Linked DNA regions of Caenorhabditis elegans. The protein of the gene in region 3 interacts with the protein of the main gene of each other region in a pairwise test. Each region holds a gene or a part of one and is shown on either strand. Other genes may lie near its edges.

The links.
Region 1: the proteins of mys-1 (region 3) and mec-3 interact in a two-hybrid assay, tested with the Caenorhabditis elegans proteins (one large-scale study listed by BioGRID).
Region 2: the proteins of mys-1 (region 3) and lsl-1 interact in a two-hybrid assay, tested with the Caenorhabditis elegans proteins (one large-scale study listed by BioGRID).
Region 4: the proteins of mys-1 (region 3) and mab-3 interact in a two-hybrid assay, tested with the Caenorhabditis elegans proteins (one large-scale study listed by BioGRID).

The regions. Positions count from the first base shown.
Region 1 is NC_003282.8:10,458,308-10,463,809, reverse strand, and holds mec-3 (Mechanosensory protein 3), read left to right. Parts: upstream 1-1,942; 5' UTR 1,943-2,043; coding exon 2,044-2,121; intron 2,122-2,516; coding exon 2,517-2,567; intron 2,568-2,708; coding exon 2,709-2,824; intron 2,825-2,874; coding exon 2,875-2,947; intron 2,948-3,248; coding exon 3,249-3,500; intron 3,501-3,572; coding exon 3,573-3,686; intron 3,687-3,729; coding exon 3,730-3,943; intron 3,944-4,652; coding exon 4,653-4,720; 3' UTR 4,721-4,994; downstream 4,995-5,502. UniProt on the Caenorhabditis elegans protein: Transcription factor. Specifies differentiation of the set of six touch receptor neurons (TRNs).
Region 2 is NC_003279.8:9,899,591-9,903,436, forward strand, and holds lsl-1 (C2H2-type domain-containing protein), read left to right. Parts: upstream 1-1,688; coding exon 1,689-1,754; intron 1,755-1,801; coding exon 1,802-1,886; intron 1,887-1,933; coding exon 1,934-2,174; intron 2,175-2,410; coding exon 2,411-2,677; intron 2,678-2,840; coding exon 2,841-2,949; intron 2,950-2,999; coding exon 3,000-3,098; intron 3,099-3,146; coding exon 3,147-3,236; 3' UTR 3,237-3,339; downstream 3,340-3,846. Other genes in the region: Mitogen-activated protein kinase kinase kinase mom-4, read right to left, coding at 289-368, 414-512, 616-782, 941-1,009.
Region 3 is NC_003283.11:7,081,026-7,086,568, reverse strand, and holds mys-1 (Histone acetyltransferase Tip60 homolog), read left to right. Parts: upstream 1-1,906; 5' UTR 1,907-1,915; coding exon 1,916-2,054; intron 2,055-2,099; coding exon 2,100-2,277; intron 2,278-2,340; coding exon 2,341-2,686; intron 2,687-3,200; coding exon 3,201-3,896; intron 3,897-4,793; coding exon 4,794-4,811; 3' UTR 4,812-5,024; downstream 5,025-5,543. Other genes in the region: VC5.2 (Laminin EGF-like domain-containing protein), read right to left, coding at 115-537; npa-1 (Polyprotein allergen nematode domain-containing protein), read right to left, coding at 5,115-5,207. UniProt on the Caenorhabditis elegans protein: Probable catalytic subunit of the Tip60 chromatin-remodeling complex. Plays a role in acetylation of nucleosomal histone H4 and perhaps also H2A, probably acting as a component of the Tip60 histone acetyltransferase complex.
Region 4 is NC_003280.10:9,730,636-9,738,240, forward strand, and holds mab-3 (Protein male abnormal 3), read left to right. Parts: upstream 1-1,595; 5' UTR 1,596-1,667; intron 1,668-2,776; 5' UTR 2,777-2,786; coding exon 2,787-2,929; intron 2,930-4,375; exon of another isoform or gene 4,376-4,376; coding exon 4,377-4,455; intron 4,456-5,133; coding exon 5,134-5,280; intron 5,281-5,649; coding exon 5,650-5,821; intron 5,822-6,326; coding exon 6,327-6,658; 3' UTR 6,659-7,400; downstream 7,401-7,605. UniProt on the Caenorhabditis elegans protein: Transcription factor which binds the DNA motif 5'-[CGA][TCA][TA]ACAATGT[AT][TGA]C-3', probably as a monomer.

The DNA.
Region 1 (5,502 bases), on a different chromosome or scaffold from region 3:
TGTTGTTTGTAGATTTGGGTAGATCTTCAGTTTATATGATCTTCGATTGTGCTATTTTCGGATTTTTATGGATAAAAATTACATCTTAAAACTCTCGGAATAAACTATCAAAATGAGGAGCGATGTGTTTTTTTTTAATTTTGCCCTGCAGGTACCCGGAGTAGTTGGCGAAGATAGAAATGGTGTTATCTTATATAAATTCAGACTTTCTCTGTTAAAATTTTAACCACCAAAAAATATAGAATTTATAAAAAGTTTCATTTTGAAATTTTATCTTTTGGGGCCATTTCACTACCTTATCAGGAAGAAATGTGTTTCATCAGAAATTGAATTTTTCATCTTTTCAGAAAGTGTACCTAATACCGTATCATGCTCATATTCACGTGAATAAGGCTTCTGCCCAGTTCTGTGATTCAAGGAAAACTACGAAAAATGATCTCATTTTCTTTGATTTATCACCGAGCTGGTGTGTCATCACACACAGTCTGTTTCTTGATAAAAACGCGCAGAAGTTAGAGCATTCATTGTGATTTTGGGTCTTTAATTTCTGTAAAACAAATAAAGTGACAAGTTTATCATCTGCCTATTTTATCAGTTATATGCATGGTTAGTTGCAAATAAGGGAGTAGAAATTGACTAAAACTCAAAATGAGCACTGAAACGAGGGGTTTTGTTAGTTGCGAAATAACAATTAATACAATCTGGTTGATTACTTTGTAAAAGGATAATAAAATATGCAAAACTTGGCGTATTCTGAGATTTCATTCCTAAAGACATTTATCAAAACAAATGTTTTCTGCAATTTTCTAAATTCTTGGAATTCTGCCCAGCAGCCTCTAATATCGCGTTTTACTTAGAAAATGACTTTTGGTTTCATTTTCTCATTTTCTGGCTTCTATTTTTCACAAATGCAAATATTTACATTTAAATTAGTACTTTCATTTCTACAAAGATCAAATTTAACATTATTGACAGGTTTACTGTTATCTTGTGACAGTTCCGTACTGTCAATCAAAACGAAAATTAAAACTCATGAAATATCAATGAACATAAATTGAAAAAAAAACCCAGTTGAAAGGAGAAAATAAGCGAAACACACCAACAACTGAGTAGTTACGCTCACAATTTGGAAATGATTTTGAAAACTCTCTGGACTGCATTTCAATTTTTAACAAACAATGAATACATACTGATAGTTTTTGTACTTCTCGGCATTCAGAGGCAACTTCCTGCCAACAACCTGGCAACTTATTTAGTGCCACTAAAATAAGTTGCCAAATTGTTGGCAGGAAGTTGCCTCCAAATGCCGAGTTGGAGCAAATGATTCGATATGATTTTAAGGATACCTACGCATGCCTCCTGCCAAGACACGCACCCACCTACTGAAATGTCGCGGAATTTTACCTCCCAAACTATAGATTGGGTGAAACTTCACTGTAAAAGCTTTTTTTAAGTAGTAGGCTGGCAGTAATGAAGACGTCCATACCATAATTTTTAATGTTGTATAGAAAATCTGAATTCTCAAGTATAACATTTTCCAATAATTAGCATAGTCAGAAACTCTCCACCGCCGTTCCGTTCCTTTTTTTTGTAACTATGGAGTAATAGAACAAGATTATTCAAATTCAAATTTTTATAAAACTTTACAACGTCCTTTCCATATATTCTTCACACAACATTTGAAAAAACAACAAATTCATTCGAAATGCATTGCCCATAATGAATCGACCGAAAAACACAAGTGACCGTCAGGAGATCGATAGAGAGAGCCCGTTCCAACTAGACAACTTTTTAGTGCTTATCCTTACACACACTTTCTAGCTTCATAAGAAATGCATCTATTATCGTCACCATTTGGAGACACCAGTTTTAGCGCACATTAATAATCGATCAGGGTCTAGAGACTCCTGTTGGATTGGCATGCCACGCCTACATGACATCTGGCTCTTGACGGGTGATTTGTTACAGTGAGTAGCCACAATTTCGCGCATTTTCTTCTAAATTTCACTGTTATTTGTTCTTCTGATTTATTTCATTTGAACTATGGAAATGTTAGAGTCAAAGCCTCTCAGTGCGATTAGTATGGTTATTGATTCAATTGGAGTTGATCATGAAAATCAGGTGAGTAATTAAACTTGAGCAGTTGTGAATTTCATCAGAAAACAATTTTTCTTTAAAAAAATTTAAAAGTAACAATTTGAGAGTCAGAAAAATGAAATTAACATCAATCGAAAACTTACATTGCATTTGCTTGAAAGTTTTTACAAAGACTTCTGCGTGTCAAGAAATTCCAATTTGAAATTTATACAAAATCCGCACGAGGGAAAATTTCTGTTCGACTTTCAGAGAGTCAAGTAAAATTACCGCATCTTCTAAAAATTCTGAAAGTTAGATTCTGAAAGTCAATCGTGTAAACTTTTGGTTGGTATTCATTCTATTTTCCAATCTCATTTTATCGATACGATCTCTAGTGAAACTTGTGTCTAACATTCTATAATTTTTTTAAATATTTCTAGAACAAATGTAATTGCTGCAATGAGCAAATTTATGATCGTTATATTTATCGAGTAAGTTTGCTGATGTTTGTGGATTTTTCAAACTTTCTTTGCTTTGCTTCTGTAAACAGTCTGCTCAAAATCTTGAATATTTTTCTTTTGCTTCTATAGTTCGAACAACATTTCAAGATTTCAGCCATCATTTATTTTCAGATGGACAATCGATCGTATCACGAAAATTGTGTCAAATGTACAATATGTGAGTCTCCTCTGGCCGAAAAGTGTTTTTGGAAAAATGGGAGAATTTATTGTAGTCAACATTATTATAAGTAAGCTTTAGCAAAATATTCTTGGAATTAATAAAAATACATTATTTCAGGGATCACAGTATTCATCGGTGTGCGGGTTGCAAGAAAGGAGTGTCACCGACAGATATGGTATATAAACTGAAGGTATTAAATTGGGTCAGAATGTTTAAGAAAACATTAAACTTTGAGCGAACCTATACAAAAAGTTGTCAACTTTTTATCAATTAAATTTTTGACTACTTTTGTATAAACAGTAGGAATGCCCGAAAGATTTCAAAAAGCCTACAATTTCAAATTAAAAAAAAAACCAAAGCTTTGACTAATAGTTTTGAAAGATGTAATCATTTTTTACGCTTTGCTCTTTGCTCTGACGGGATCCTGCTAGACGCACAAGCATAGAGCTTGGGGCTTTGATCGGTAAAGTTTGACTCAAAGAACTTTACAGGCTGGGCTCGTGTTCCATGTGGAATGTCATTGTTGCTCTTTGTGTGGACGGCATTTATCACCGGGGGAACAAATTCTTGTTGACGATACAATGATGACCGTATCCTGTATGTCACATTATCCTCCTCAAATGGATGACAACGCACCTGGAGCAATAGGATCTGCAGTTGATATACCATCTTGTTCGACAGAAAATCCAATTGCCCCATATCCAATTGATGAATCTTTTTCATCAGCTTTCCAAGTTAAAAAGGTATACTTTATTTTTCGTTGAAAGTTTAAAGGGATTAAATACCGAATAATGTACTGCATATTTAATTTTTAGGAGGTTGACGCTTATGGATACAACTTTGAGCATTATAGCTTTTCCGATTTCTGTGATGATGATTCACGAATGCTAAAAAGACGCGGACCTAGAACGACAATCAAACAAAATCAGGTATACAATGTAAGAAAGCGGAAATTTTCATAATGATTTTCAGTTGGACGTGCTGAATGAAATGTTCTCGAATACACCAAAGCCGTCGAAACATGCTCGAGCCAAATTGGCATTGGAGACCGGTTTAAGCATGAGAGTAATTCAGGTTTGGTTCCAAAACCGGAGAAGTAAGGAACGGAGGCTCAAACATTTGTGCAATTACTTGAGACATTATGAGCAACGTGGGCTCATTCCTCCGCCAATTCATTTTAGAAATGGTTAGTTTAAAGATTCAATCTGGAAAACGCAGTAATAGCTCTGAAATTTCAAAAAATAGATAGTGACTAGTAAACATTTTAACAAGTTGTTTTGTTGCATAAACATTAAGTTTGACACTAAAACTTTTCAAATCGGACTTTGTTCATAACTCAGATCCGAAATCTCTAAGCAAATAATTTATATAGATGAAAAAAAACTACCTTCTTTCGTGGCGATAAGTGCCTGTTTCGTGCCTACACATATGCCTACCTACTGTCTTAAAGCATGCGTAAATCTATTCCGTTCACTGAAATTCCGGCTATAACTGAAAACTCCATTAAAACTCCATAAAACAGGCAATAGATAGGCGCTTAGGCAGGGAAACATGTCTCACGTTTCTCTAATTTTCTGTATTTAAAGTTTCTCAATCATTCATTTTTGATTGTTCAAATCTATTTTCATAGAATTTTTTCTTCGAATTTCATGATGTTTAATTATTGAGTAGTTTCCCTATAATTATATATAACGCGTTTCCAATTATTGTCTGTTGTCTTGTTCGAAAATCTAAGCAACACTGATGTGGCAGTACACCAGAATACGCACAGAAAGCAAAAATCCAGAAAAGTTTGAGTTGCCACGTCATAAATCACAAACCAAATGGCTTGGCTCTTTCGAACTTTTTGCTGCTCTTGCATTCTTGTTTTTTTTTATTCTCTTTTTTCATTTCAGAAGAAATGGACACAACTGACTTCAACGCGTTTTGCGGAAATTTCGAAGAGGAAGATGATGAAGATTGATGAAGATTTTTTTAATTTTTAAAACAATATATTCCATTTATATATATATATTTCATAATGTATTTTCCTTCCCAAATCTTGAATTTCATTACATGTTTGCCAAAACTTGTGTTCTGAACTTGTTCAAATATTCACGTTTGCGCGAATAAGTAATTGAATGTCAGTCGATAATCTGATCTCAATGATTCCATTTTTAATTGTCCATGAATCATAAAATCACGAAATCTTAAAAATTCTCACACTTTGTCTCGATTCAAAAATAATCCTAAATGCTACGTTTTTGTGTTGGGTTTGTTGGTTTAAAAACGAGAAAATTTTCAATTATTCCGTCACCTTGATTGAAATAAGATTTGTTTTCCTCGTAAAAGAAAACGGTTCAACTAGCTGGTTTTCAAAAGATTTTCGAACCCTTGTAAAAGACTTATGTAACTCTATAATTAATGTTTCCGTCAAAGAATTGTGTAAATTGTATAAAAATAGTTTTAAAAATTAATGGAGGAAACTTCTTGAAAATTCAGCATTAAAATATAGTAGGTGTGTTTTTTTGTCAACGCCTTCGTGATACCTATTCCAATAACTAAATAGGTTTTTGCTACGGGTTGTAGTTCCTCGGAAAAAGAAACAATTTAATTTACTGAGCTAAGTGAACTATTTCCTCGCAACTTCCACACTTTTTCTTTCCTTCCCCAGAACGAGAAAATATTAGTTTTACCTGTAATTACTAGCTTATTTTCCAACATCTAAAACCAGCCCCCTTGAAGTACAATTAGCCAATGACGCAC
Region 2 (3,846 bases), on a different chromosome or scaffold from region 3:
AAAAAAACCAAATAGCATTTTTTTTGTTCAAAATTATAGTGAAATTTTTTTTGCCAGATTTTTCGTGTTACAGCGTCCATATATTGATTTTTATTCAGTTTCTTCCATATTTTGCAGTATAATCCGCTTTTTTGATGTATTTTAATATATTTTTAGCTGATAGAAATTTCTGTTCCTATTGCCGAAAAAATGTAGTTTAATTCGCTAAGAAACACGGAATAAACCGACAAAATGTTAAAAAATTTGGCGAAATCGGGGATTTTCACTAAATTTAAATGAAAATCTCACAATCGGCCATGCTTCCACAATCCATATATTCCATAACGACTCCTTGCCCATTCCGAGGGCTTTTGTACAGTCCATAAATTCTGAAAAACTTCTATTTTCAGTATTTTCCATTTATAAAAACATACTTTATAATATTAGGATGATTTCTGAGATCCCACATAACTTTTGCTTCTCTTATAAGAGTTGCCATATGAAGTTGAGAAGAATATTTGATTGCTGCTGGCCTGAAAATAATATTTTGGTGATTTTATTGATTTTTTGTTAACTTTTGATAATTCCTCATGCTTTAAAAGAATTAAATTTAAATTTTTGAAGCTAGAAACGAACCTAAAGTCATCCTGCCTAGTTTTTCTATATCTTGTTTTCTCAACCAATCCATAAGTGCCTTTTCCGAGATAATGACTATTTAAATTATCAATACATTGTGCTTGAATTTCGGGAATATCAATTGTTGAGCACAATCCGGAATCTCGTGTTGTTCGTTGTGTTGGTGTCTGAATTTATTAATTTATTGAGTTTTCAGTGATTTTTATTGATAGTTTTGGTAAAAGCAGGCTTTATACGTCTTCAACTGATTTTTTTAAAAATTAAATACAATACTGTTTTTACAAGAAAACGTTATTTTTCTTTACTCAAAATCCATTAAACTTACAATTGCGGCAGGACTTGGCGAATGACTGGACGAACTACTAGACGGTTTGCTCTGTGACGAATTGTCCATTTCAGAGCCGAAACGGTGAAAAAAATGGTGATGGGCGGCAAAGGACAGGAACTGGCATGTGTTGTGTGTGTATACTCTTTCTCTCGCTCAGTGGAAACGATATAGTGCACAAGTAGAAGAAACTGCAGACGAATAACAAAATAGACCAACGGGACACAGACAGATTTCCGATTTAGACAAGGAAGAATGATGATTTTAAAGAAGTTACTGTAGCATGGCTGAAAATTGTTTTGATAAATACATAAAATTCAATTGCGCAGGTTTTACAGAAAATTCAAAATAAAGAATAATTGAATGTTTTAAGTTCTGAAAAGTAAAGAAATTACACAACGGGGAAGAAGTATGGAAATTTATTCAAATTATATTTGTATAAAAAATACAAAGATCGAAAATGTTCTAATTTTCTGTTCTTCTGTTCTAAACTAATTTTGTTAAATATATAAATAATGTTTTCAGCTTAATTCGAAATTGCAGAAACAATTCTTTGTTGGGGACACTGTGCTCAAAGGCGCATGACGCAACGAAACTTTTGGGTCTCACCACGAAACTGTCAAACACGGTAATCCTAAAATTTAGAGAAGCTGTCAATTAATTTATGAGTTTTGTTTGTCTTAATTTTATGTTTAAACCAACAAATTGTCTGCATTTTTTCTTCAAAAAATTTTATTTTTTACTTCAGATGTCAATTATTGATGACCGAACGGATCCATCTTACGACGGCGAGGACTACGAAGCTTCTATAACGGTATTTTATTTCGATTCTTATTTTTAAGATTATTGAAATGTTTCTAGTTCGGAACCTATCAACAAGAAGAAGTCGCCCCGTTTGCTGTTCATCAGTGTAATGTGTGTAATAAAATGTTTATGAATTATAAAGGTTATTCGCATAAAAATAGAAAGCTGAAATAAAAAAAAACATTTCAGGTCTCCAACAGCACTCTGTGATTCATACCGACACCAAACCATACATCTGCGATGTTTGTGGCCGAGGATTCCGATACAAATCGAATATGTTCGAGCATCGTACCGTTCACACCGGCTATACCCCTTATGTGTGTCCATTTTGTGGAAAACAGTTCCGATTGAAAGGAAACATGAAAAAGCACATGCGAACTCATGTGACAAGCAAAGAAGAGTTGGAAGCTGCTTATAGACCATATTCGAGGTTGGCAATCGGTCGACCCTTCACCTTCACAAATAGTTCGTGGTACGTATATTATACATTGGACGTACAATAAATATGTTATTCACATTGCATTGCACGAATTTTAAGAACTTCGTCCATTATATTATGTGAATAATACATTTATTGTACGTCCACCGTATAATACACGAACCACGAATTATATGTGTTGTACGAGGGGAATTCTGATATCTATCTCGTCTTAAAAATGATTTCAGCAATCGGCGTTCGTCTGGAATTATTCCGTCCGATGCTCTAGTCATTCGTGGGACATCGATGCCCTATTACAATCCAGAGAAGAAGCGATCGGTTCCGAAACTTTTATTGGGTAAAGATCCTTCAAAATGGGTTGATATGATCTGCCGAAACCAGCTTATCCCACTATCTTCATTTGACGATAAAATCATGAGAGCTACAATGCGATTGACTAACTGTCACATGGCATCCGATGTTCTAGAACAAGCTAAACCACTCGAGTTTGAGATGTAAGTTTCAATTCAATTTGAAATTACAGTACTCTTTAAAGGCGCACGCCCTTTTGTATTTTACAAAAAAAGAAGACGTGAAAAGACCAGCGTTTGTATTTTTACCGCAAATTATTATAATTATTGTCTTACTAATATCCCATGCAAAATCTGAAAATTACAGCTTTCGATGCCCAATTTGCAAGTGCGAATGTAGTGGAAGAGAGGATTGTCAACTGCATATGTATGCTTCTCATGATAAGAAAGAAGCTGAAGAACCAAATTATTGCACGGTAAATAATTGAAAATTAAATCTTGAATATCCTGTAAACTTTATTTTCAGAAATGCATGAGAGTATTCGCCGACGTAGATATGTATCGTCAACACCAAAGCTATCATTCTCGTGTTCAATTGATGATTCGTAATAATGAACTTGAAATGGTGAGTTGTTAAATATTGCTAATTCTTAATTGTATTATTTTGTTTCAGGGCTCTCCAGAAGTCGATATCTCTCAAATCTGCTACAGTATGATCACTAACACTGAAAATGAGATGAACATTCTAAAACCATCAGCATAGTTTTTCCCCTGAATTTTCCCCACATCCCTGTCTTTCTAACGCCCGTGTAATTGTTTTGTTCTGTTGCACTTGTTCCTTTCATTTTTATGAAGTTTTCATTTTGAAAATATGAATGGAAGACAAAATACAACAAACGTTGGATGATGGCAAAGTTTTTTAAGGAAGGAAGTAAAAAAGAAGCATAAAGGAGTTGGGAAATTCACAATTAAAGCACAACCAAAGCAGGACAAGGTGAAGAAAAAGACAATTTGGGGGAATGTTTGAATGGTAAAGCTGTGATAATGAGAGAAGATGATTTCTGATTTTAAGACATTTAATACACAGGGTTGGGGATATCAATGATACTTCTTTTAATTTGGAAAAACAACCAATTTCAGATTCTAGAATATAAATTACATTTATGAGACACACGTTTTGAATATCCCTCTCGCGGGGGAACAAAAAAAGATTTGAGGGAATCGGGAACACACAGAGAAAGAGCAGATGTTTTCGGAGAAAGCCGGGAAAAAAAAGTATGAAGAAGTGAGAGACGCAGACGAAAAGCAGTGCAGGTGGCTCATTAAAGAGGTAAACGAGTTGAGGTGGTGCATATTGATACTTTAAGATTATA
Region 3 (5,543 bases):
ACACAATTTTTGAAATTTTTTCATCCATTTCCCATAAAAAATATTATAAAACAACATAAGTTGTTATATAGAATTTTAATCGTTAAAATTAAAATTGAAACTTCAATAACTCACCCCTTTTTCCACGATATCCGGCCGTTTTGTTTTCTCCAAAAGCATATGCAACTGATAAATTTGCTCGTTATCAAGAAGGTCTCCAAGATCATTCTTTGTAGTTAAACTTTCAGATTTCACGAAATCATTAAATTGTTCAATATCATAAGAGCAAGAGTCAAGGCAGTCAATACTTTCCGGGTATATATCTGCAGCTAATTGTGTAGATGCTTCTCGAAATTCATCAAACTTTGAGTTCATTAAAAAATGATCTAACGTATTTGAAACTTTTTTATCTAGTTTTGATCTCCATAATGTGCACTGATCAAGACGATTTACCAAATTGAAGCGGAATGTAACAATATCCTTTTCAGATAAAGGTGAATGAATAAATTCAAATTGTGGGATTATTATAGTAACAATTAGTATAAAATATAGTGACATGATAGAGTATGGGTCAAACCGTCTTCTCTAATTGAAAATGGAAAATAGTAGAAGTAAACGGAGACGGCGGTAAACCTGAAACGACGATCAATTACTTTCTGTGATCGAAAGAGAAAAGAAATGACGAAAAAGATATATAGATTACAAAGAAGGTCGTATTCTTTCACGAGTGTTATGATAATCATAATGATCGGAAAATGGGAAGAAGAAGAAGGAAGAATAATAAGAAAAAGAGGAAAAATAAACGAGGAAGAGGCTCTCTTATCAATCTTGTTCGAACAGGTGTTTTGATGTGACGCGTTCAATCAGTTCAATGATTTTCAACTCTTCGTCTCTTCATCTCATCCTGTCACTTGTCGCTTTTTGATATTTGATTTTTTGTTTTCGGATTTTTTGTGTGCTTCGTAGTTGCTCCGATGATGCCGGATTCAACATTTGAATGTAACATTTGAATTTTGAAATTGAAGGAATTCATTTGAATCTAAAGCTTGCAGGGTCAAGACCGATACATTCTTGCAACACATGACTCGAAAGTATGTAGGAAAAATTGAAGTTGGAAACTTGGAATTTGATGAAAAAGTACAGTAATCCATTCTCTCTTATTTCGCAACTTTCTTCGATTTTTGATTTTTCCTAGATTTTTTAAGCTAAAATTTTGCTGTTTTATTTTCATTTTTCATGCTTTTCAATTTCGGTTTTCAACAAAATTATGTTTTTCAGAGAAAATCTCGTGAACAATAACTCGGCTACTGTACCATTTAAAGGCGCACACCTTTTCGCGCAGCATTGATTTAAATTTTTTTGTTCGTGGCTCAACAGTGCAATGGACATCTAGATATCTGAAATTTTACCACTGAATTCAGTTCATTTTTTAAGCATCTTCAAAAATTTGCGTTTTCCTAATTTTCTTGTGATCGTTTTTTTTTTGAAAGTACAATCGTACATTATAAATAACTATTTTTCAATTCGAATAATTTAATTCAAGATCATTTCGCAAAATAATTGCCTTGAAACGTTATGCCGCGGTCAATTTTCAACCACCCTTGTTATTCTTTTTTGAATTGCCGCCCTTTTTCCCTGTGGCCGGCGCAGTGCGGCCGAGGTTGGTTTCTAGGCCAGCCGGCGCGTTTTATTTTTTTCGAGCATGATTTCACAATTATTTCTTGCATTTTTAAAGTTTTTTATTGATAAAATAGTAAAACTAACAACGGATAATATTATTTTAAAATTAAAAAACTAGTTTGTTCATTTTTGGATCGATTTTTAGATGTTGTTCATGGATTATGCACGCAAGAAAGTACTATCGTTCACATTTGATTGCTATATTATTGAATATTGAATTTTTCACACAAAATTGTACTATTTCCAGATATTTATCATGACCGAGCCGAAGAAGGAGATTATAGAGGACGAAAATCATGGAATATCCAAGAAAATACCAACAGATCCCAGGCAATACGAGAAAGTTACAGAGGGATGCCGGTTATTGGTCATGATGGCTTCACAAGAAGAAGAAAGTTAGTTTTTACATCTATTTAAACACATTTTCCAATTATTTTCAGGATGGGCCGAAGTTATTTCAAGATGCCGAGCTGCAAATGGTTCAATTAAATTCTATGTCCATTATATCGATTGCAACCGAAGACTTGACGAATGGGTTCAGTCTGATAGGCTCAATTTAGCGTCGTGTGAGCTACCAAAAAAAGGAGGAAAGAAAGGAGCACACTTGCGGGAAGAAAAGTGAGAAATCTATAAACTTTTCAAAAGATTTTAAATAGTTTTATCAATTCATAATTATTTCAGTCGAGATTCGAATGAAAATGAAGGAAAGAAAAGCGGCCGAAAACGAAAGATTCCACTACTTCCGATGGATGATCTCAAGGCGGAATCCGTAGATCCATTACAAGCAATTTCAACGATGACCAGCGGATCTACTCCAAGTCTTCGAGGTTCCATGTCGATGGTCGGCCATAGTGAAGATGCAATGACAAGGATCCGAAATGTCGAATGCATTGAACTAGGAAGATCACGAATTCAGCCATGGTACTTTGCACCTTATCCACAACAATTGACAAGTTTGGATTGTATTTATATTTGCGAATTTTGTCTGAAATATCTAAAGTCGAAAACTTGTCTGAAACGGCACATGGTGAGTGTTTCGAGTTATAGAAAATGACCGAATATAAATAACTGTTTTCAAAATTCAAAAATTTTCAATTTTCCAAAAATGAAAGAATCGGTGAATTCGAAAAAATTCGAGTTCTTGTGTGTTTTTGGCTGAATTTTTCGGTTTTTCTTGCTTTTTCCGTTGATATTAGTTTTGAAACAATGTTTTTAAAATTTTCCGGCATCGAAAAAAATCGCAAATTCTGGGAATTTGCTCCAAAAATTGCATTTTTGAAATACTTTTTTGCGAAAACGAAAAAAAAATTCACAAACGGTGTTTCAAACCAAATTTATCGTAATCAAAAAAGTTTCGCAAATAGGCCATTATTCTGCGTGGGAATTCAAATTAAAATCAGCTACTTTTTCTATTTTGCAAAATGGAAAAAAAACGTAAAAAATAGACAAATTTTTAATTTTTTAAACAATTACATTCGGTCCATACTCTTCATTTTCTATCATTTAATTAAAATGCCCAATTCTAATTAATTTTATTTCAGGAAAAATGTGCAATGTGTCACCCACCTGGCAATCAAATCTACAGTCACGATAAACTTTCATTTTTTGAAATCGACGGCCGCAAAAACAAAAGCTATGCTCAGAATCTATGCCTGCTTGCCAAACTTTTTCTGGATCACAAGACTCTTTACTATGACACGGATCCATTTTTGTTCTATGTGCTAACCGAAGAAGACGAGAAGGGTCATCATATAGTTGGATACTTTTCAAAAGAAAAAGAATCAGCTGAAGAATATAATGTTGCGTGTATTCTTGTGTTACCTCCATTTCAAAAGAAAGGATACGGAAGTTTGCTCATCGAATTCAGCTATGAACTCTCGAAAATTGAACAGAAGACAGGATCACCCGAAAAACCACTATCAGATTTGGGACTTCTCTCATATCGATCGTACTGGTCAATGGCCATCATGAAAGAGCTTTTCGCATTCAAAAGACGACATCCAGGCGAAGATATCACAGTTCAGGACATTTCACAAAGTACATCGATTAAACGAGAAGATGTTGTGTCAACGTTACAGCAACTTGATCTATACAAATACTATAAGGGATCATACATAATTGTGATTAGTGATGAAAAGCGTCAAGTTTATGAGAAACGGATTGAGGCTGCGAAAAAGAAGACACGAATTAATCCAGCAGCTCTGCAATGGCGACCCAAAGAGTACGGAAAGAAAAGAGTGAGTTTTTTTCAATCAAAAATTCGTGTTTACGGCTAAAAACTGAAAATTAAAATTAAATTAAATTCGTGATAACATTTTTTTTTCAAAAAACCAAAAAAAAACAATTTCGTTTTTGGCAGAACCAAAAAAAAAATTTAAAAAAAAACGGTTTACGCCCTATTTCATACAAACAACAGAAATTGCACTTTTTTGAGCAAATTTGACCCTACAATTTTTTTCCAGTTTTTTGCTCTTTTTCAAAAAAAAACACCTAAACACTGGAAATACTAAATACTAAGGAAAAAAATGGAAATACTGGTTTACAGTGTCAAAAAATTGAAATTTTCTAATAAAATCATTTTTCTTTTTACTAAATTTATCAAAAATTTATAACTCAAATCTTTCAGTTTTTGCGAATTTTTTTTCGAAAAAACGAAAAAAAATAAACCTAATTTTAACCAAATTGTAATTTTGAAAAATCTGGAACGTCCGGAAAACTGAAAAATTAAAAAAAAAACTTTTCAGAAATTTATTTTTAAAAAACCGTTTTTTTAAATCAAATTTTGTATATGTTGATGAGAAAAAAAAATAGAAATCAATGTTTTTAAGTTTTAAAAGAAAAATTTATTTTAATTATTTTAGTTTTAATAAGGTATTTAAACAGTAACAAGGATGTCGGTTTTTCGATTTTCCGAAAAACTAAAAAATTGTCTTTTTCGATTTTTTAATCGAAAAAAAATAGAAATATTTTCACAAAACATACTATTCTTCTAAAAAAAAGAATAGTGGCAGATTTTAAATAATTTTTGAACTCTCGCAATTTTTTTCGAAATATCCAAAAATCGAAAAACCGGCACAAAAGCAAAAAGTCTCCGGGAATATATCTTTAAATTATTTTATGAACTTTTTTTTCAGGCGCAGATCATGTTCTAGCAACAACGACATGTGTTCTCGCCACGACGATCTCAACCTGTACATTAAAATATAACACTCCGTTTTATCTCGCATCTACACACCGAAAAGCTTACGCTATCCCTTTATCATTCCCACACCGCTCAGAGAGCGTACGCCTCATTTCATTTCATTTGTTCTGTGTAATAATTTGACTTATTAGTCACTTATTTTTTTAATGAAATTATTCTTGAATTTCATAATCTTCTTGTTGCAGTTCAAATAATTAAAATTCATCATATAGACAAGTAAGTTTATAACTGCAAAAGTGAAGTTTTCTAATCATTAAGCGTTCTGAAGATATTCGGCAACCGCCTGAGCGATCAGATCACGGCGGGAACGAGTTGAGGCGTAGACATGCTTGCAGCCAGTGACAACCTGAAAGATATTCAAAAAATTAATTTCAGGACTCGAATTTTTAACAATCTGAATAAAAAAATCCAAAATTGTATATTATAGAGTTTTTTGAAATCTAAGCGAAAGCGCGCTCCAATGTAAAACGAAAAGTGCTCCGCCCCTAAACGTTGGGTCCCGTTAGGAATTTGTTATTTTTTCGGTTATTTCTGACTATATTATAATTTCGAAACGACAAGTATTTTAAACATCATTTCGACATAAAAAATATGTAAAACAACAAAAAACAATCGAAAAAATAGTGAAAAAGTTTGAATTTACAGTCTCGCCGCCTCCTACCGAGACCTAACGTTAGGAGGC
Region 4 (7,605 bases), on a different chromosome or scaffold from region 3:
ACGACGGAATGTTCGTTCACTCTCACACTTCAGCCGTTTTTTTCCTACGAGCGAAACAATCAGCGGGGCGGGTAGTGAGCGAGTTGAGACTGTCTAGACTCGATGTGGTGATCTCTTTGGAGTACAGAGAATGTTCAGAGTAAATACAGTCCATTCGGCAACATTTGAAAACAAGAATTTAGTCAAAATTTATCAGCAATTCCTTTAGAAAGTTGGTTCTCAAACCTAAAATTTTTTAACGACATTTATAAAGTGGAACTGGAAATATCTTTGGTTCGGGAAAATTTGAGAAATTTAAATTACTGAAACTTTAAAAGTCATATTGAAAATTGTTATCCATTGCAGGTCAATAATTTTTGACTGAAACTTCAAATCTTGGTAATTGAAAAACGGTTTGACTAAATAGTGAGTCACTAGAACTTTGACAGTTGGTAAGACAGTTTTCAACAAAACTATTACTTTTCAAAGTTTTTGGTAGCTTCTCTCGAAAACATTCCTAATATATTTTCAGGTCCAAATCAACCTTTACCAAAAATGTTTCCTCTGTAATTTTCTTGTCAATCCCACTTTGTTTCTACCGCTTCTTCTCCTTTCCATTTCGAGGACACAGTCGAGATCAAATGTGTGCGTTGAAACTGCCAATTTTCATTCTCTCTCTGCTAACTGAACACAAGACCTGAAGGTGCTCATTAGGCGAAATTGAGAAATATTGGATTACTGTAGGCTTAGATATGTAATCAATCTGAAACTGGTGACGCGGGTGTTCAGAAAAAAAATTGTGGTTGGGTTGGGGGGTTAAGATTCAAATGAAGAAATGAAAAAAGCTAGTAAAAGCTGAAAGAAAGTACTTAGCTTATGAATATTAATTAGGTCACATGGGAGCAGTTATGAATTTCCAGTCCTAATTTTTTCTACAGCCCGGTGCCGGGATCTTGGCCCTATGGACTGAAAAAAAGCTCAAGAATTGTATTTTTCCTCGAAAAAAAAATATAATTAAGCTTTCTATATAGGCTCCAAGGTTCCAACTTGTGGATCCATAATTCTAGACATAGTTTCAATTTCCTTTAAAGCAAGGTAGGTCACATTCCAGGAATGTTTAATAGTTTTCTAAAATACAGAAAAGTCTAGAAAAGCCTACCCAACGAATGATAATAAAAGTTCGAACAAAACCTATAAAAATTGAGTTACAGGAAATAAAATAAAAAACTAAAAGTTTGCAATTTTCTCTCGTCTCTTCTCTTTCCATGATCACACGTACTTACAGGTGTCCCCAAAAAACGCAGAGATCACACGATTCGCGGAGTGTCAGCCAGAGAAAAAATATGTCGTCGCGAGAACTGATAGCGGTGTCCCCCTCCACCGCCATAGTCTCGGGGCGCCGCTCCCTCCCGATATATGTTTGTCTGGCGTCTCTTACCAGGTTTTCTCACGTTCGGCGTTCTCTAATTATCGTCGTGTGAGGTCTTCTATCCAATCGCGGGTGGCATCAGTCGCCAAAAAAGAGGCGGCGCTTCGTCGCCGCGACTCTTTCTTGCTGGGACCCGCCCCGTTTCACAGGAGGGGAGTGCCTATTACTCCCTCTTTTCCTTTTCTTTTCGATATTTGAATGCTATCGGTGCTCTAGGAGCTCGATCTTGACCCCTTGTTGGAGGAAATTGTACTTTTGGGTAGGTGCTTCCAGTCGATTCAGAATAATTTTTTGGGGTTTTTGAAAACAGTAAAATTATGTGAAAATGTTTCCATCTTTGCGTCTACAATTTGTGGCTGACTTTCCTAACAGTCTACTCTTTGAAATTTTTGAGAAAATGGCTTAACAAAAACTTGAACATTTGATCTGATGTACATTGTAGAAATACTGTAGCTCCTGACTTGTCTGTTTGTCTTGGTTTTAGTCTCTACAAAAAATTATTTCTTGATAAAAACCTCTAATTGATTAAAAATTGAACCTTTTGTAACACGATCAAATGTTGCCAGTTGCAATTAATCGATTTTTGTGATTTTATAAAGTTTGCAGTTAGGTTTGAAAAACTTCAAACGTATTTTATTTAGAAATTTATTTGCTCTTTTTTTCCTTCAAGTCAAATAAGCAATACGGTTCTGTAAATTAATAAAACTTTGTTGCCATTAAATATTGAAATTCCATGTATATCCGTTCTGAAAAATTCTTTATAAGAAAAAATTTCAAACTGGTTTTTAACATTTTTAACTATTGCAGGTTTAAAAACATACAGTAGCCCAACTTTATTCCACATTTAAAGTCACAGAATGAGCCCAACGTTGAATTGAACATTTAGATTATAAAAACGTATTTTATATATGTTTGAGCTATCTGTAATTTTTGAAGAAAAAAAAACTGGTTTCAAAGCTCTCTAAATTTTCTGTTTTAAATTCTCAAAATTCTTAACATTATAGGAAAAGAAAATTTTTTTACTTTACTTTGAAAATTTTTTTAATCCGAAAGATATACACTGGAAACTAGAAAAGATACAGTATTACAAAAAAAATTCGCATTACCAGCTGCTCCTTTAAAAAATTGAAAATTTGTTCCGATGCAAAGAACAATATTTTTGGCGAAAAAATGTTCTTTCTCACAAAAATCAGTCTTGAAAATTTGACTTTTCCACGACATTTTCAAAATTTCGTAATTATTTTATAAGTCAAGATTAGAGTATAGCAGTTTCATATAATGCTTATAGATCCCTCTTTTTAATTCCCTAATTAAAAATAAAAATTTCAACAAAAACAACTAAATTCATAATCTGAAAAAATTTTGCAGAGGAGCTCTAATGCTCACCGAGGATCCCGTATCGGAGATTTGTGAGGCGAAAGCAGTCGATGAGCTCGCCGAGCAAGAAAAAAATTATTATTGTCAGAGATGTTTAAATCATGGGGAGTTGAAGCCAAGGAAAGGTCACAAGCCGGATTGTAGGTGAGCAATGGTTTTTTTTGCATTTTTAAACTACATTTCATCTGAAAACTATTTTGTCATTCCATGTTTCTCCCTCATTCACCCTTAATTATATACATCACGTTTTAATGCTTAAACTCTTGAATTTTTTGATAATTTTGGGTCTTGCAACGATAAAAAGTTAACAACTGTTTAATGAACTTTTTGTAACTTTTGTTGTGCCGAAAAAGTATGTAGTTTATCCATAAATACTCCAAATTCCAAATTTTATCTCAAAATTGTCGCGTCACCGACCTTATTCACCCACCATCAGTTTTTTTTTTCGCGAAGCCCTCCGACAAAGACACCCGTAAAATTTGAGATGTTCGTCTACCGATTACGATCGGGCAAGAAAAGACGCAAAGCAAGAAAAAACAGCTGACCTTGTCGATTTAAAGCGAAAAATACCACCCATACAGGTGAAATTGTTATTATATGAGTGAGGGGGGTCAAAAACGAATTATTATATGGACGCGAAAAACGGAGGAGAAGAATGGGAAAATGCAAAGAGGCAAAAAGTTATGTTTTATACATTAACCTAAACCATTTTGAAGGTGGTCTAGGGATACTGTAGATGTTTCACCAAGGTGAAAGATGACTCAAAAAGATCTTGCAATGACGACAATTATCACTAAGCTAAATTGAAGATGGATTAGCGAAATCTGGGAAACATTTTAAAATGACTACAAGAGTTTTTTGAATACCTATGTGAAATTTTTTTAATTCCCTGATTTCGCTACTACACATTTAATAATATGTATATCAAGGTGTGTTACTCTTTTTAGGTTTTTTTAAACGCTCGTTTAAAGAATTTGTACTTCTCTGGTTTAAATATCCAAAACTCGCCCGAAACGACCGAATTTCATTATTAGGCTTTACAAAAATAATATCTATCCGGTTAAAAATTAAAAAAAAAACTAGTGAAATTCTGCCAGCTTCTTCTTCGGTCGATCATTTTTTCCAATGTTTAGATAAATTCAAAAAAGCGCTTCTTTTTTTTCGAGATATGTTTGGGAAGTTACATCATGAATTTTGGTTGTTTGGGATCAGTTTGAGACAATTCAAGCAACTAAAAATTTTTCAGCCTTTTTTATTATTTTTTTTGGAACCGAAAATTATTAAAAAATTATGTTTGCTTTTCATTCAAAAATCTTCATTCATTTTTTGACATCCAATCACACAGATACACTCACTTTTCAAACAAACCATTCCACAATGACCTATACAGTCGTAAAATTCCTCACCCAATTTTTTTTTTCTCCCAATTTTTTCAGTTCATATAATTTTTAACAAAAGATAGGGCCTATCTCTATTGTGAAAAGTCTAATAAAATATTTGAATGGGTGGGCGGGTTACTGTACAACTACAAAATTCTCCCGTCGATGACACCAAGTGGCACTGAAAAATAAACAAGACGAACATTTTACAGATATCTAAAATGTCCATGTCGAGAATGCACGATGGTCGAGCAGCGAAGACAGTTGAACAATTTGCTAAGCAAAAAGAAGGTGAGTATTCTATAGGGATTCTATGGTAGGTGTGGCTGTAGGTGGCTGTGCCTTACCTCATTCCTGTCTGCCTACATTTCTGTTTCGCGGTGTAGGCGGTCTTGAAGGTTGTATGTGCGTTCTCACGCACTTAAATACCACATCTTATCAGTTCACCAAAAAATCGCAACTTCAGATCAAATCTGACATTTTCAAAATGAAAAGTGGGTTGACGTCTTGGCTTTTTTCTCTTTTTGTAAGAAAAACAATTGAAGATACGAATAGATAGAGTGTGAAAAGCAAAGAAAAAGTGAGAAAAAGATTGATTTTATCGGATTTTTTTAAGGGTAGGTATATTTTTCATGAAGTTGTTCTTTTTCAAAAGGGGCTCTTGTTGTGGCAAGTCACATATAGGTCATTGCCTGGCCATCTATAGGCGTACCTACCTTATTGTTTTATTTCAGTTATTTGTTGAAAGTGTATTTTTAAATGAGAAAAATGCTCACTTTGGACCATGGGTATGCGTGTAGGTATGAGGCAATTGTAGGCTGCATTGACTGCAAGCATTCTTGAGCCTACTGAAAGTTTATACCGAATTTCTTGGTTATTGTTTTTGTGATTGCATTAACTCCTATAATATTACTGTGAAAATAAAACACTTTTTAGCGGGACCCCTTATAAACCTTTCCAAATTTCCAGATCCACTGCACACCGGCAACTCAAACCCGTGATGGGAAGCGTGTCCGTGACCCACACTGTGCTCGGTGCTCGGCTCACGGAGTCCTAGTCCCATTGCGGGGACACAAGCGGACAATGTGCCAATTTGTGACATGCGAGTGTACATTGGTAAGTGTAATTATACTGTCATCATCGGCAGTCAGGCGCCCTTGACAACATTGCAGTTTTTATGCTTTTCAATGTCACCTGCGCGAAGAAATTATAGGATTATAAAAGTACTGTAGGGAAATGGGGGAGTGGCTTGCCAATGAGATTTGAGAATGTGACTTTTTGAAACATTTTGATAAGTTTCAACTATTTCGAAGTATTTTTAATGCAACAGTGCTACGAATTGACTTTTTAAAAATTGTTGTGGAGCAGGCAACTTGGAGCATGCTCTTGGACTGACAGAGAAAGTTGCCACATTAATTTGTGTGAGATTTTTGAAAACGCGTAAACAGAACTACGATTTTCGAGTTTAAAAATATTATTTTTCAGTGTACTCTTGTGGAACACCGTCGAAATCTTATGGCGGCTCAAATCAAATTACGCAGATCACAACAGAAATCCCGAGATGGTAAAGAACCAAAAAGGAACTCTCGTAGAAAATCGAAAGATATGGATATGGAGATGATGGTTGTCACAGCTACAGATGGTCAAAAGATAATTGGTAAGCTATGGGATTTTGTAGAAGTGTGTAAATTGAGCTTTAAGTCAGAATCACAAAAATTGGAGTCTAAACCTGAAATCCAGTCGGAAGTAATTCTAGAGTTGACGGTACGTATTAACGTTATCAGAAACATAGATTTTACCATCAACTCATAGATTATATAAAATGGCTACTTGTTATTTCCAATTTTTCGTACCGAAACAATCAAATACGGGAATATCCAAACGCATCAATAAACAATTACGAAAGTTAAGAGGTTAATTTCAAATATGTCTAGAATCTCAAATTGGTACAACTTCTCAGTTATAGAATATGTCTTTCTGCTTACCTATCAGGCGGGCCCTGCCCTGAAAGTTACTTTGCCTTAAAGATAATTACCACTTAAGCCAATGTATTTTCAAAATTCAGGGGAAGACAAAAAAGTGGTAATTTTGATGCAAATATCAACGCAGACAGTTAAAATTTATATTGTAGCTTCAAAGAAATTAAATCTATAATATTCCAGGAACATCAGCAAGTCCATCTCCATCCTCAACCACTGATACAATGTCCCCATCCCTTTCAATGTCTCCACCATGCTCTCCATCTCCACTTCTGGCTCAATACACTCTGACGCTGGCTGCTCCGATTCCAATCTATCCGCCGATCCCAATGAATCAACAATTGATAAGCTTGCAACAACAACAGTTCCTGATGAGCATTATTCAAAATATGGCTCCATCAATCGGACAACAGGCTCCACTCCTTCCAGGCATTTCTGCAGGTTCTGTCTCATCGGCAGCAATTTTGAATGAGTTCTGGAGTATGTATCTGAAAAATTATGGTCTGCAAGCCTAAGATCTATAATTTTGACCAATTATTGATTTTTAGAAAAATTGTATGTTTCCCTTCTTTGCTTAATTTTCCACACAATCTCTTTTTATCTTTGGTTTCAAACTCAATGATTTTTTCATATTTTCTTGAATTTTCACTTTTTACCAATTTTGTTATATTTTCTAATTTTTTCATTCATTTTTCACCAAGTGAACCAACCAATTTACCGATTTTTTTCTCGTCTTCAAGACCGCTTGTGTTATTCCAAAAATCCCCATTTTTTTTAAATTCAAATAATCTTTTCGTCTCTCACCAAACCACATACTATCTTTCTATGTCTCTTCGCCACCTAATCATGTCATCAATTTCTTCGAAAATTCCCAAATTTCACCGATATTCTTCCGTTTGCATCGATTTCCCACTGTCCCCGCCCAAATTGAGCTGAGCTCCGCCCACACTTTCCCAGGATTACTGTATTGTTTCTCGCTCTGCGTCTCTCATTCTCGTTCCCTCTCTCTTTGTTTTATCTCGGAAAATAGGATCAAATCCTAAACAGTTAACCGGTCCGTTTTAGACACCCCCGGTGGTAATAATTTTGAAAAAAAGTGAAATCATGTTTTTTAATGTTTTGGTTTTAAAAAACCAAACATTTTTTGGAGAGAAAAATGTATAGAACTTCCAAACATACAAACACACGACGCATCGAGTCTAATAATTATTGATTTATTTTTATTATTTTTGATTTTTCAATAAACTTTTCATTTTTAAATCGTCTTGGTTCTGTATGCAAACTTGATCGTACAGCAATTTCCAGAAAAAAAGTTGGCGGCCGAGCTTTCTCTTCCGCGGCCATGTAGAAACCCATAGACAAGGTCTTAGCACGAATGAAACTTTTCCGTTACCGTACCATAGGGTATTTCCCAATTTCTCCTGTTTCAGAAAACATATTTTTTTTAAATTTAAACTTTCGT